Macaca fascicularis: one gene and its partners. The protein of the gene in region 2 interacts with the protein of the main gene of each other region in a biochemical or structural test. Links are inferred from orthologs where the notes say so. Each region holds a gene or a part of one and is shown on either strand. Other genes may lie near its edges.

Region 1 (4,110 bases), on a different chromosome or scaffold from region 2:
CTGGGAAAAGTGGGTGAATGCAGGGCTCCATCAAGGCCCTCAACAAGGTCCCTCTCTGGTGCTCAGATGTTAGGCCCAGAAGACAGGTCAGAGGCCTGAGGTCAGCGGCAGGTCAAAGGTGGGAGTCCCCCCTGGTCCCCTTGGTGCCTTCCCTTGGAATGAAGTGACCAGCTGCCTGGAAAGGTGGGCAAGGGGGCAACAGGATGAGGTAAAGGCCAGTTACAAGTAGAATCCTGGAAGGTCGGGTGAGGTGGCTTATGCCTGTAATCCCAGCACTTTGGGAGGCCAAGGCAGGCGACTCACTTGAGGTCAGAAGTTTGAGACCAGCTTGGCCAACATGGTGAAACCCCATCTCTTACCAAAAAGTACAAAAATTAGCCGGGCATGATGGCACATGCCTGTAATCCCAGCTACTCGGGAGGCTGAGGCAGGAGAATTGTTTGAACCAGGGAGGCAGAGGCTGCAGTGAGCCGAGATCCCACTACTGCACTCCAGCCTGGGCAACAGAGTGAGACCCTGTTTCAAAACAAAACAAAAGCCAAATCGAATCCTGGAAAGACAGTGGCTCAGGGACTCAGCTGTCCCCAAATCACCTACCTTAGCTCTTCGTGCATGGGAGGGGGGATCCCCAAAATCTTCAAAGATAGGGAGATGTCCTCAAGATCTTCAAAGGTGGCCAGGCGTTGTGGCTCACGCCTGTAACCGCAACACTTTGGGAGGTCAGGATGGGAGGAGGCCATCTCAAGGCCAGGAGCTCAAGACCAGTCGGGGCAACATAGCAAGACTCTGCTTCTGGTTTTTTTGTTTGTTTGTTTGTTTGTTTTATGTTTCCTTGAAATCCCACCTTAGCATCTAAACAGTGGTGCCTACAGGTTTCCCCCATTAACTTCCTCTCTGGGAACAGAATATTCCCCTCCCCACCTAAGTTCAGCCGGAAGGAGATGCCTCATACCCCCACACCCAGGCTTCCCAGTGCTGAGAACAAAGGAAGCCAGTTCAGTTAGCATTTCCTGGCTAGGAACTGGGGGCCAGCAGTGCAACTGAGACCAGCCCTGTCCCTGGGGGAGACTCAGCAGTGCTGGCCACTTTGCAGAGCCCCATCTGGGTCCCCCATTCTAGCCCCCCAGGGCCATAGCATCCCCTTCTCCCCACAGGCCTGGGTAAGGTGCAATCCCCAGACTTCTGCAATCTTAACCGCTGTGCTTCCGTCTCAGTGGGAGGCCCCGCCTTTCCCCCTGCCTGCCCTTGGGGCACCTCAGGAAGGCCCCTTCTTCTGTCAGAATGGCCACCATAGTACCATCCGTATCGTGGCCCGGGGCCTGCTGGACTCTGCTGGTCTGCTGTCTGCTGACCCCAGGTGAGGCTGGTCAAGCCCAGGAGGGCTGGAGAGGGCTGGGTTTTGGGGCTCAGTAGAAGGTGGAGGAAGAGAATGCAACACTCTTTGCATCCTGCCACACTGCGACCTGGCTGCTGACCCCGTATCCTCGGGAGAAAGTTCTGGTTCCTTAGTTCTGCCTTCAGGTGGTCAGGCCCCAGCATACGGCTTCTACGCCATCCCTCTTCCCCAACACACACACACACACACACACACACACCCCTCACGCTTCCTGCTCCATCTGAACTCCTGAAATTTGCCCTTTGCGTATGTGGTTCCCTCTGCCAGGATCAGCTGTCCCTTTCACTTGCTAACTCTTACTTAGCTTTCAGTTTCAGGCTGGCATGGTCCCCTCCTCCAGGAAGCCTTCCCTGACTCACCTCCTCCTATGCTGGATCAGAGTCTCTTCTGGCCTCCTTCTGAGTTCTCCCTGGTCCCTGATGGATTCTGCCTTTCCCACTGGACCATGAGGGCGGGAACCCTTCTATCTCGGCACAAGGAAAGAGGTGTTAAATGGTGGGGCCTGCTGATACACGGGTTGGGGGGCAACAAAACGAACACCAGGATTTCTTCATGTTCCTGAAGGTGCCCAGGGGCAGGAGTTCCTGCTGCGGGTGGAGCCCCAGAACCCTGTGTTTCCTGCTGGAGGGTCCCTGTTGGTGAACTGCAGTACTGATTGCCCCAGCTCTAAGAAAATCATCTTGGAGACGTCCCTATCAAAGGAGCTGGTGGACAATGGCACGGGCTGGGCAGCCTTCCAGCTCAGCAACGTGACTGGCAACAGTCGGATCCTCTGTTCAGGGTACTGCAATGGCTCCCAGATAACAGCCTTCTCTGACATCACCGTGTACAGTGAGTCGATGTGTCCGGAGGTGGGACTGGTGTTGGGTAGTGGTGTGGGCAGGTGGCCGATGGCTCAGGAGAATGGAGACCCTCAGTTTGCAAAGAATGGACCAGGGTTCTGACCCAGAGCTCAGACCTGGATATTTGTGTGTGTGAGATACAAAGACAAGGCCGGGCGCGGTGGCTCACGCCTGTAATCCCAGCACTTTGGGAGGCCGAGACGGGCGGATCACAAGGTCAGGAGATCGAGACCATCCTGGCTAACACGGTGAAACCCTGTCTCTACTAAAAATACAAAAAACTAGCCGGGCGAGGTGGCGGCGCCTGTAGTCCCAGCTACTCGGGAGGCTGAGGCCGGAGAATGGCGGGAACCCGGGAGGCGGAGCTTGCAGTGAGCTGAGATCCGGCCACTGCACTCCAGCCTGGACGACACAGCGAGACTCCGTCTCAAAAAAAAAAAAAAAACAAAAAAAAAAACAAAAAAAAAAAACAAAAAAAAAAAAAACAAAGACATAGAGACACATCTCAATCTCATGCCAAGGCAGCAGTTGTGAAATCAATTAACTTGGGCCCCAACCAGCATTTTTTTTTTTTTTTTTTTTTTTTTGAGACAGAGTTTCGCTGTTTTTGCCCAGGCTGGAGTGCAGTGGCACAATCTCGGCTCACTGCAACCTTCGCCTCCTGGGTTCAAGTGATTCTCCTGCCTCGGCCTCCCGAGTGGCTGGGATTACACATGCACGCCACCACACCCGGGTAATTTTGTATTTTTAGTAGAGATGGCATTTCTTTTTCTTTTTTTTTTGAGACGGAGTCTGGCTCTGTCCAGCCCAGGCTGGAGTGCAGTGGCCGGATCTCAGCTCACTGCAAGCTCCGCCTCCCGGGCTTACGCCATTCTCCTGCCTCAGCCTCCCGAGTAGCTGGGACTACAGGCGCCCGCCACCTCGCCCGGCTAGTTTTTTGTATTTTTTTTAGTAGAGACGGGGTTTCAACGTGTTAGCCAGGATGGTCTTGATCTCCTGACCTCGTGATCCGCCCATCTTGGCCTCCCAAAGTGCGGGGATTACAGGCTTGAGCCACTGCGCCCGCCTGAGATGGCATTTCATCATGTTGGCCAGTCTGGTCTTGAACTCCTCACCTCAGGTAATCCGCCTGCTTTGGTCTCCCGAAGTGCTGGGATTACAGGCATGAGCCACTGCACCCTGCCCCAACAAGTTTTTTTTTTTTTTTTGAGATGAAGTCTGTTGTTCTGTAGCCCAGACTGGAGTGCAGCGGTGCCATCTTGGCTCACCACGACCTCTGCCTCCCGGGTCCCAGTTCAAGCATTCTCCTGCCTCAGCCTCCCAAGTAGCTGGGATTATAGGCATGCGCCAGCATGCCCAGCTAATTTTTGTATTTTTTGTAGAGATGGGGTTTCACCATGTTAGCCAGGCTGGTCTTTAACTCCTGACCTCGTGATCTGTCCACCTTGGCCTCTCGAAATGCTGGGATTACAGGTGTGAGCCACCTTGCCTGACCCCAACAATAATCTCAACACTTTGGGAGGCCAAGGCAGGAAGATTGCTTGAGCCCAGAAATTTAAGACCAGGCTGAGCAACATAGGGACACCTTGTCTCCACAAAAATAAATAAAAAATATTAGCTGGGGCCGGGCGTGGTGGCTCACACCTGTAATCCCAGCACTTTGGGAGGCCGAGGTGGGCGGACCACGAGGTCAGAAGATCGAGACCATCCTGGCAAATGCCGTGAAACCCCATCTCTACTGAAAATACAAAAAAATTAGCCGGGTGTGGTGGTGGGCACCTGTAGTCCCAGCTTCTAGGGAGGCTGAGGCAGGAAAATGGCGTTAACCCGGGAGGCGACGGAGCTTGCAGTGAGTGGAGATTGCGCCACTGC
Region 2 (4,106 bases):
AGACATCCCCAAAGAGATGGGTTTGACTTTGTACTTGAGTCATTGCAGCTGCTGGATTCATAGAGGGAGGACTTCTGATTGACTTTCACGACCTTGCTCCCTCCACCCCAAACTGTTCAGTGCTGATCTGACAGCCTCCTCTGACAGCTGATCTGAATTGGTTTTAAATCTGATTATATATGTGCACCTTGCAATGGGGTCGCAGTGCCTGAAACACAACCTCCTGCAGCTGGTATATATAGCGGGCACCATGAAAAGATCCAGGTCCTTGGAATTCTCTCGGCTGGAGCAAGAGCCGGGCTCTGCTGCCCATCAGCTATCTGACGGGGAGCTAGTAGCATCACCTCTCCCAGCCTCATTTTCCTTATTGTAGAATGGGGGTGATACCCAACTCATAAAGTTGCTCTGCAGATGTGAGGTCCCATGCCCAGGACCTGGCAAACAGAGGTTTAATCAGCTGTAGCTGTCACTGTGAGACGCACACAGAGCTTCTCTCTGGGAGAGAGAAGCTGGGATCCCCTCTGCCCTCCAGGAAGGCACAGCCCCTGAGAAAGTCTGGGGATGGTTCCCATTGGAGACTGCACACCAGGCTTTAAGAAGCTCTTCTCCTTCACAGATCCTCTGGCCTGTCCTTCCCCCACTGTGGCTTCTCCATCTGTGGTGGTGCCTTCTGGGGACGTGTCTCCTGGCTCTCCAGGGCCACTTCTGGCCAGTGCCTCCTTGCCTTTGTTCCAGCCCCCATTCCTGCTGCCGATCTGTATTAGTCTGTTCTCACACGGCTGTAAAGAACTACCTGAGACTGGGTAGTTAAAGAAGAGGTTTAATTGACTCACAGTCCCACATGACTGGGGAGGCCTCAGGAAGTTTACAGTCATGGCAGAAGGTGAAGGGGAAGCAGGCACACCTCTTACGTGAGGGCAGAAGAGAGAAAAGCAAAGGGGGGTGGTGCCAAACACTGAAACCATCAGCTCTCACTCAGAACCCACCCACTAGCACGAGAACAGCATAGGGGAAACCACCCCACGATCCAGTCACTCCCACCAGGTAAACCCCCCCCCCCCCGACATGTGGGGATTACAGTTGGAGATGAGCTTTGGGTGGGGACACAGCCATATCACCATCCGAAGTTGCAAGCAGAAGACTTTGGTTCTTAGGTTTTTGAGAAAGTACCTGTTAAGAGGTAAGTGAGGAGAGCTGGCTCCAGCGCAGATCCACACTAAGCTCGACTCCAGGGCTGGGATGGAGGCGGGCAGGACTGGGCATGTGTGACGCTGTTGGAAGGACTGCAAGTGGTGAGCAGGAGACCACTTGATAATGACCGTGGCATGAGGGGAGGCTGGGAACAGAGCCTGTTACTCATTTAACAGGATTTTTTTTCCTAAAAATTATATAACGTCTAGAGTTATAGACAGAAAAAAAAAAGAAATGGTAGTTTTAAAACTGCCCAGGCTCCGGCATCACAGTTCCTCTTCCTGTCTTGGATGCAGAGGGTTGTCAACCCCACATGCACTTTGAGGGGCTCTTCTTCGAAGCCATGGCCCAGCACGGTTTAGTGCTGCCTTAGCGTGCCAGGACAGAGGGAGGCAACAGTTGGTTCTTATAGCCAGGAGGATAGGACTTTTGGGTGAGAAGTTCTCACCTACTAATTTTGCTTTCCAAAGGCCAAAGAAGCCCAGGATGACCTGGTGAAGACCAAGGAGGAGCTACACCTGGTGATGACGGCACCCCCGCCCCCGCCACCCCCCATGTACGAGCCACTGAGCTACCATGTCCAGGAGAGCTTGCAGGATGAGGGTGCGGAGCCCACGGGCTACAGTGCAGAGCTGTCTAGTGAGGGCATCCGGGATGACCGCAATGAGGAGAAGCGTATCACTGAGGCGGAGAAGAATGAGCGTGTGCAGCGGCAGCTGCTGGTGAGGCCCAAGGGGCTGTGTGTCTCTAGGGGGCCCGCCTTGCTCTTGCAGCAGACAGGCTTGGGGAAGGCAGTGATGTGAGCCAGCCCCACCTAGCACCCCTCTTGCCCTTCCCATTTTCCTAGGGGAGGGGCTGGGCCATATGGGGAGGAAGGGACCTGACCAATGCTGCTTAATGTTGCAGACGCTGAGCAGCGAGCTGTCCCAGGCCCGAGATGAGAATAAGAGGACCCACAATGACATCATCCACAACGAGAACATGAGGCAAGGCCGGGACAAGTACAAGACGCTGCGGCAGATCCGGCAGGGCAACACCAAGCAGCGCATCGACGAGTTCGAGGCCCTGTAATGGCCAGGCCAGGACCAAGGGCAGAGGGGCGCTCACAGCGGGCGCTGCCGCCGGCGCTGCCAGCCTCGCCACGCTTGTGTCTTTAGTGCTCCGAGTCTAGGAACTCCAAAAGCCCAGTTCCTTTAAAAAGCAGTTACCCAACAGAAACATTCTGGGTTGGGAACCAGGGAGGCGCCCTGGTTGGTTTTCCCCAGTTGTATCATAGTGCCAAGCAGGCCTGATTCTTGCGATTATTCTCAAATCACCTCCTGTGTTGTGCTGGGAGCAGGACTGATTAAATTACGGAAAATGCCTGTAAAGTCTGAGTAAGAAACTTCATGCTGGCCTGTGTGATACGAGAGTCAGCATCGTTAAAGGAAACCGCGGCTTCCATCTGTGCCATACTTGTTCTGTATTTGAAATGAGCTCAAATTGGTTTTTGTTTTTAATTTCTATGAAGGATCCATCTTTGTATATTTACATGCTTTGAGGGGTGAAAATTTTTTTGGGAAATTGAGTTTGAAGCACTCTGGCACATACACACACAATGATTCCCTCCTTCCGTCACTCCACGCAGCTGGCAGAGAGCAGTGATCACCAGCGTGAGTGGTGTATGTAGGACACTTGGATAAATTTTTTTTAGGTTTTTTTTAGGTTTTTTTTAGGTTTTTTTGCTTAACAGTTAGAATACATTGTTGTACTTATACACCTTATTAATGATCAGCTATATAGTATTTATATACAAGTGATAATACAGATTTGTAACATTAGTTTTAAAAAGGGAAAGTTTTGTTCTGTATATTTTGTTACCTTTTACAGAATAAAAGAATTACATATGAAAAACCCTCTAACCATGGCACTTGATGTGATGTGGCAGGAGGGCAGTGGTGAAGCTGGTTACCTGCCTGCTGCAGTCACGTGTAAACAGGATTTTTATTGTTAGTGTTTTATGCATATAATGGACTATGCACATTTTTAATTTTGTCAAATACACACATGCCACTATGACCTTTCAGACTCCAGCCATGGAGAGACTGTTTGCTTGTGTTTGTTTGTAGTCTCTGCCATGGCCTTGGCAGGCTGCTGGAAGGCAGCTTGTGGAGGCCATTGGTTCTGCCCACTCGTTCCTTCTCGTGCACTGCTTACTCCTTCGCAGCTAAGATGCCATGTGCAGGTGGATTCCATGCTGCAGACATGAAATAAAAGCTTTGCAAAGGCACGAAGCAGCATGGCTGTGTACTTGTGTGTGGGGTGGGAGGGCCACCGCCGACTTGCCTGGGCTCTATGCTGTCCTCCGGCTGGGTTTTGTGAGGGGCCATGGTGTCCCTGGGGATACACTGGTAAGTTAGAGCTGACCAACCCAAGACATGGTGCTCCGTAGGTCACCTAACCTCCTCTGGAGACAGTTTCCATGGGAGAGGACACTCCAACTCACCAGGCTCCTCTAAAATGCTGCTCACCGCCGGGTGCGGTGGCTCATGCCTGTAATCCCAGCACTTCGGGAGGCCGAGGCAGGCGGTTCACAAGGTCAGGAGATGGAGACCATCCTGGCCAACATGGTGAAAGGCCGTCTACTAAAAATACAAAAATTAGGTGTGGTGGCGCATGCCTGTAATCCCAGCTACTTGGGAGGCTGAGGCAGGAGAATTGCTAGGACCCAGGAGTTGGAGGTTGCAGCGAGCTGAGATTGTGCCACTGCACTTCAGCCTGGCGACACAGGGAGACTCCATCTCAAAAAAATAAAATGCTCCTTTAAGCTGTGACTTTTTTTTTTTTTTTTTTTTGAGACAGGGTCTTCCTTTGGCCCAGGCTGGAGCACAGTTGTGTAGTCAGGGCTTACTGCAGCCTCAACCTCCTGTTCTCTA
Region 3 (2,744 bases), on a different chromosome or scaffold from region 2:
CATACAGAAGGGGCCATTCTTCCCCCCAAGAACAGAGCTTCAGTGTCTGGCCACGGGCAGCCGGGCCCCTGCTACTTCCAGTCTGAGTTGGAAGAACAAAGCCCCTCCTCCCCCCTTCCCTGGGCAGAAGGGAAAGGGGGTGAGGCTGGGGAAGAGATGGTGGGGCTGGGCGCCAGCTGAAGCCATGGAAGAACCCAGGAAGGGGCTGGGTGCCAAGCTGATGCCCCAGCCAAAGCCTTCACTCTGGGACAGGCCGACTCAGTCAGGCCACAGAGTAGGAACTTTCTGCAGGGTCTGCTCAAAGGTTCCCCTTCCCTAGGAGCTCCTGCCAGGGTACTTGACAAGGGGGAGGGTCCTTGGACCCAGGCCTAAACCTTCTGTCACCTCATCTTTGGATCTAGAACGTTCCATCTACTTTCTTCCTTCAAGGCCCTCCTTTGCTGCTTCAGGGTTAGGGTTTCAGGATTCCTGGGGTCAAATCCAGGCAAACAGTCAGGTGGACCACAGGAGATTCAGGGAGCACCACATGGGTTCCCCATGCCAAGCAAAGAGGCCTCCAGTGTCCCCACATTCCAAGAAGCCCCTCCCTGGTCACTGGCTCAAAAGGCAAGTCAGTATCTAAAAGCCACATTGGAGCAGCCCAGGGGGAGGGAGCGCTAATCCCATGATATCTGTACCCCTCCCATCCCTCCAGCCTGAGCAGAACCAGCCTGCCCTCTGATCCTCGAAGGAATGTAAAAAGGAGCCCCAGCAGGCTCAGGCGGTGGGAACCCGGGGTGGGTGGCCAGGGCATCAGTGCTACCTCTTCTCAGTCTGGGGCCCCTACTTCCCCAGGAGCTCCCTCCTGCCTCAGGACTCCCTCACCCCATCCTGTGACAACCCACACCCCTCTTCTCTCTGCCAGGAGAACAGTCGTGAAGCCTTGGCAGAGGCAGCCTCAGAGAGCCCCAGGCCAACCCTGGTGAGATCCGCCTCCAGTGACACCAGCGAGGAGGTAGGCCAGCCATGCAGGGGGTAGCAACTGGGTTACAGGAAGCCGATTCCCAGGCCCCACTTGTTCCTGGCACACCAGCCTGCCTTTGAGGTCACATGCTGAGCCGCATTCTGTTCTTGTGACCTGGCTTCCCTGGGCACAGCCCCAAGGGAGCCACCTCACTGAGGCTGAGGACCAGGGAGCCTAATGAGGGACTGACTCCCAACTTCCTGCCCCCATTTCTCTTTACAGCTGAATTCCCAAGACAGCCCCCCAAAACAGGACTCCACAGCGCCCTCGTCTACCTCCTCCTCCGACCCCATCCTGGACTTCAACATCTCCCTGGCCATGGCCAAAGAGAGGGCCCACCAGAAGCGCAGCAGCAAACGGGCCCCGCAGATGGACTGGAGCAAGAAAAACGAACTCTTCAGCAACCTCTGAGCGCCCTGCTGCCAGCCACCCGGTGACTGGCAGGGCCGAGCCAGCCTTCCACCCCACCTTTTTCCTTCTCCCCAGTTACTCCCCTGAATCAACGTACAAATCAGCACCCACATGCCCTTTCTTGACAAATGATTTTTCTAGAGAACTATGTTCTTCCCTTACCTTAGGGAAGGTGAATGTGTTCCCGTCATCCTGCAATTAGAAAGGAGACTCTGCCTCCCTCCTCCTCACTGAGTGCCTCATCCTACCAGGTGTCCCTTTGCCACTCTGCCTGGGATATCGCTGGGACCTGCACCATGCCAGGATCGTGGGACCAGGCGAGAGGGCACCTTTCCTTCCTCCCCCGTGTGATAACTGGGTCCAGGGCTGATCATTGACTGCAGAACTGCCACTCTCAGTGGACAGGGCATCCGTTATCCTGAGAGCTGTGGCAGACACATCTTGCTTTCATTTGATTTTTGTTGTTAAGAGTGCAGTATTGCAGAGTCTAGAGGAATTTTTGTTTCCTTGATTAACATGATTTTCCTGGTTGTTGCATCCAGGGCATGGCAGTGGCCTCAGCCTTAAACTTTTGTTCCTACTCCCACCCTCAGAGAACTGGGCAGCACGGGGAGGGTTTGGCTACCCCTGCCCATCCCTGAACCAGGTACCACCATTGTAAGGAAACACTTCAGAAATTCAGCTGGTTCCTCCAAACCCTCCAGCCTCTGTGTCTTCCTTGGGAGTTTTGTCCTCTGGCCTTGGACCCCTTATAGGTAGAAAGTGAGAAATGGTAAGCCAGGGTGGTCTTTGGCTGGGAGGGTGGCGTACACTGGAGGGAGGGCCATCTAGGGCTCTCTGTGACCCCAAGCCTGAGTAGCTTTAGCTAGAGGGCCTAGCTGCGGAAGTCCTGTGGGAAGGAGGATGCATGTACCCAGCCGGTGTTGAGCGTGCCTGTGTCCCAGGCTGTAAGCACTGATGTGGGCTAGGGACCCCTCGACTAATAGGGACATTTACCAGAGGAAGTGGGAGCTCAGACATGCTCAGAGGACTCTGGGAGGTTCCTGTAATTCCAGAAGCGTGGAAAGTGTGTCCCAGGATGGAGCTGGGTTTGGAATGTAAGGACTTGGCTTTACTCTTTCTGCCTACAGCCAGTGGGTGCAGGATTCCCAGGGGCAGGCTGGGCTGGTGCCAGATCCTCTATCTTATCTGGCCATTGTGACCTGATTGGAGGGCAAGTGTCCAGTGCCAGGGGAAAACAAACCGGTCCACTGAGCCCTGGGACATGCTGTGTGGCTAGGTGGGGTGGAAGGGACTTTTCAAGGGCGAAATGCCCTATCCCCAACAAAAG

The links.
Region 1: the proteins of EZR (region 2) and ICAM3 form a complex in vitro, tested with the Homo sapiens proteins (2 studies listed by BioGRID). The link is inferred for Macaca fascicularis from reciprocal best matches to the Homo sapiens genes EZR and ICAM3.
Region 3: the proteins of EZR (region 2) and NHERF1 form a complex in vitro, tested with the Homo sapiens proteins (2 studies listed by BioGRID and IntAct). The link is inferred for Macaca fascicularis from reciprocal best matches to the Homo sapiens genes EZR and NHERF1.

The regions. Positions count from the first base shown.
Region 1 is NC_088393.1:10,897,792-10,901,901, reverse strand, and holds the start of ICAM3 (intercellular adhesion molecule 3), read left to right. Parts: upstream 1-1,225; 5' UTR 1,226-1,281; coding exon 1,282-1,357; intron 1,358-1,960; coding exon 1,961-2,227; intron 2,228-4,110. UniProt on the Homo sapiens protein: ICAM proteins are ligands for the leukocyte adhesion protein LFA-1 (integrin alpha-L/beta-2). ICAM3 is also a ligand for integrin alpha-D/beta-2. In association with integrin alpha-L/beta-2, contributes to apoptotic neutrophil phagocytosis by macrophages.
Region 2 is NC_088378.1:67,101,680-67,105,785, reverse strand, and holds the end of EZR (ezrin), read left to right. Parts: intron 1-1,661; coding exon 1,662-1,913; intron 1,914-2,097; coding exon 2,098-2,262; 3' UTR 2,263-3,460; downstream 3,461-4,106. UniProt on the Homo sapiens protein: Probably involved in connections of major cytoskeletal structures to the plasma membrane. In epithelial cells, required for the formation of microvilli and membrane ruffles on the apical pole. Along with PLEKHG6, required for normal macropinocytosis.
Region 3 is NC_088390.1:81,139,174-81,141,917, forward strand, and holds the end of NHERF1 (Na(+)/H(+) exchange regulatory cofactor NHE-RF1), read left to right. Parts: intron 1-904; coding exon 905-994; intron 995-1,225; coding exon 1,226-1,414; 3' UTR 1,415-2,110; downstream 2,111-2,744. UniProt on the Homo sapiens protein: Scaffold protein that connects plasma membrane proteins with members of the ezrin/moesin/radixin family and thereby helps to link them to the actin cytoskeleton and to regulate their surface expression. Necessary for recycling of internalized ADRB2.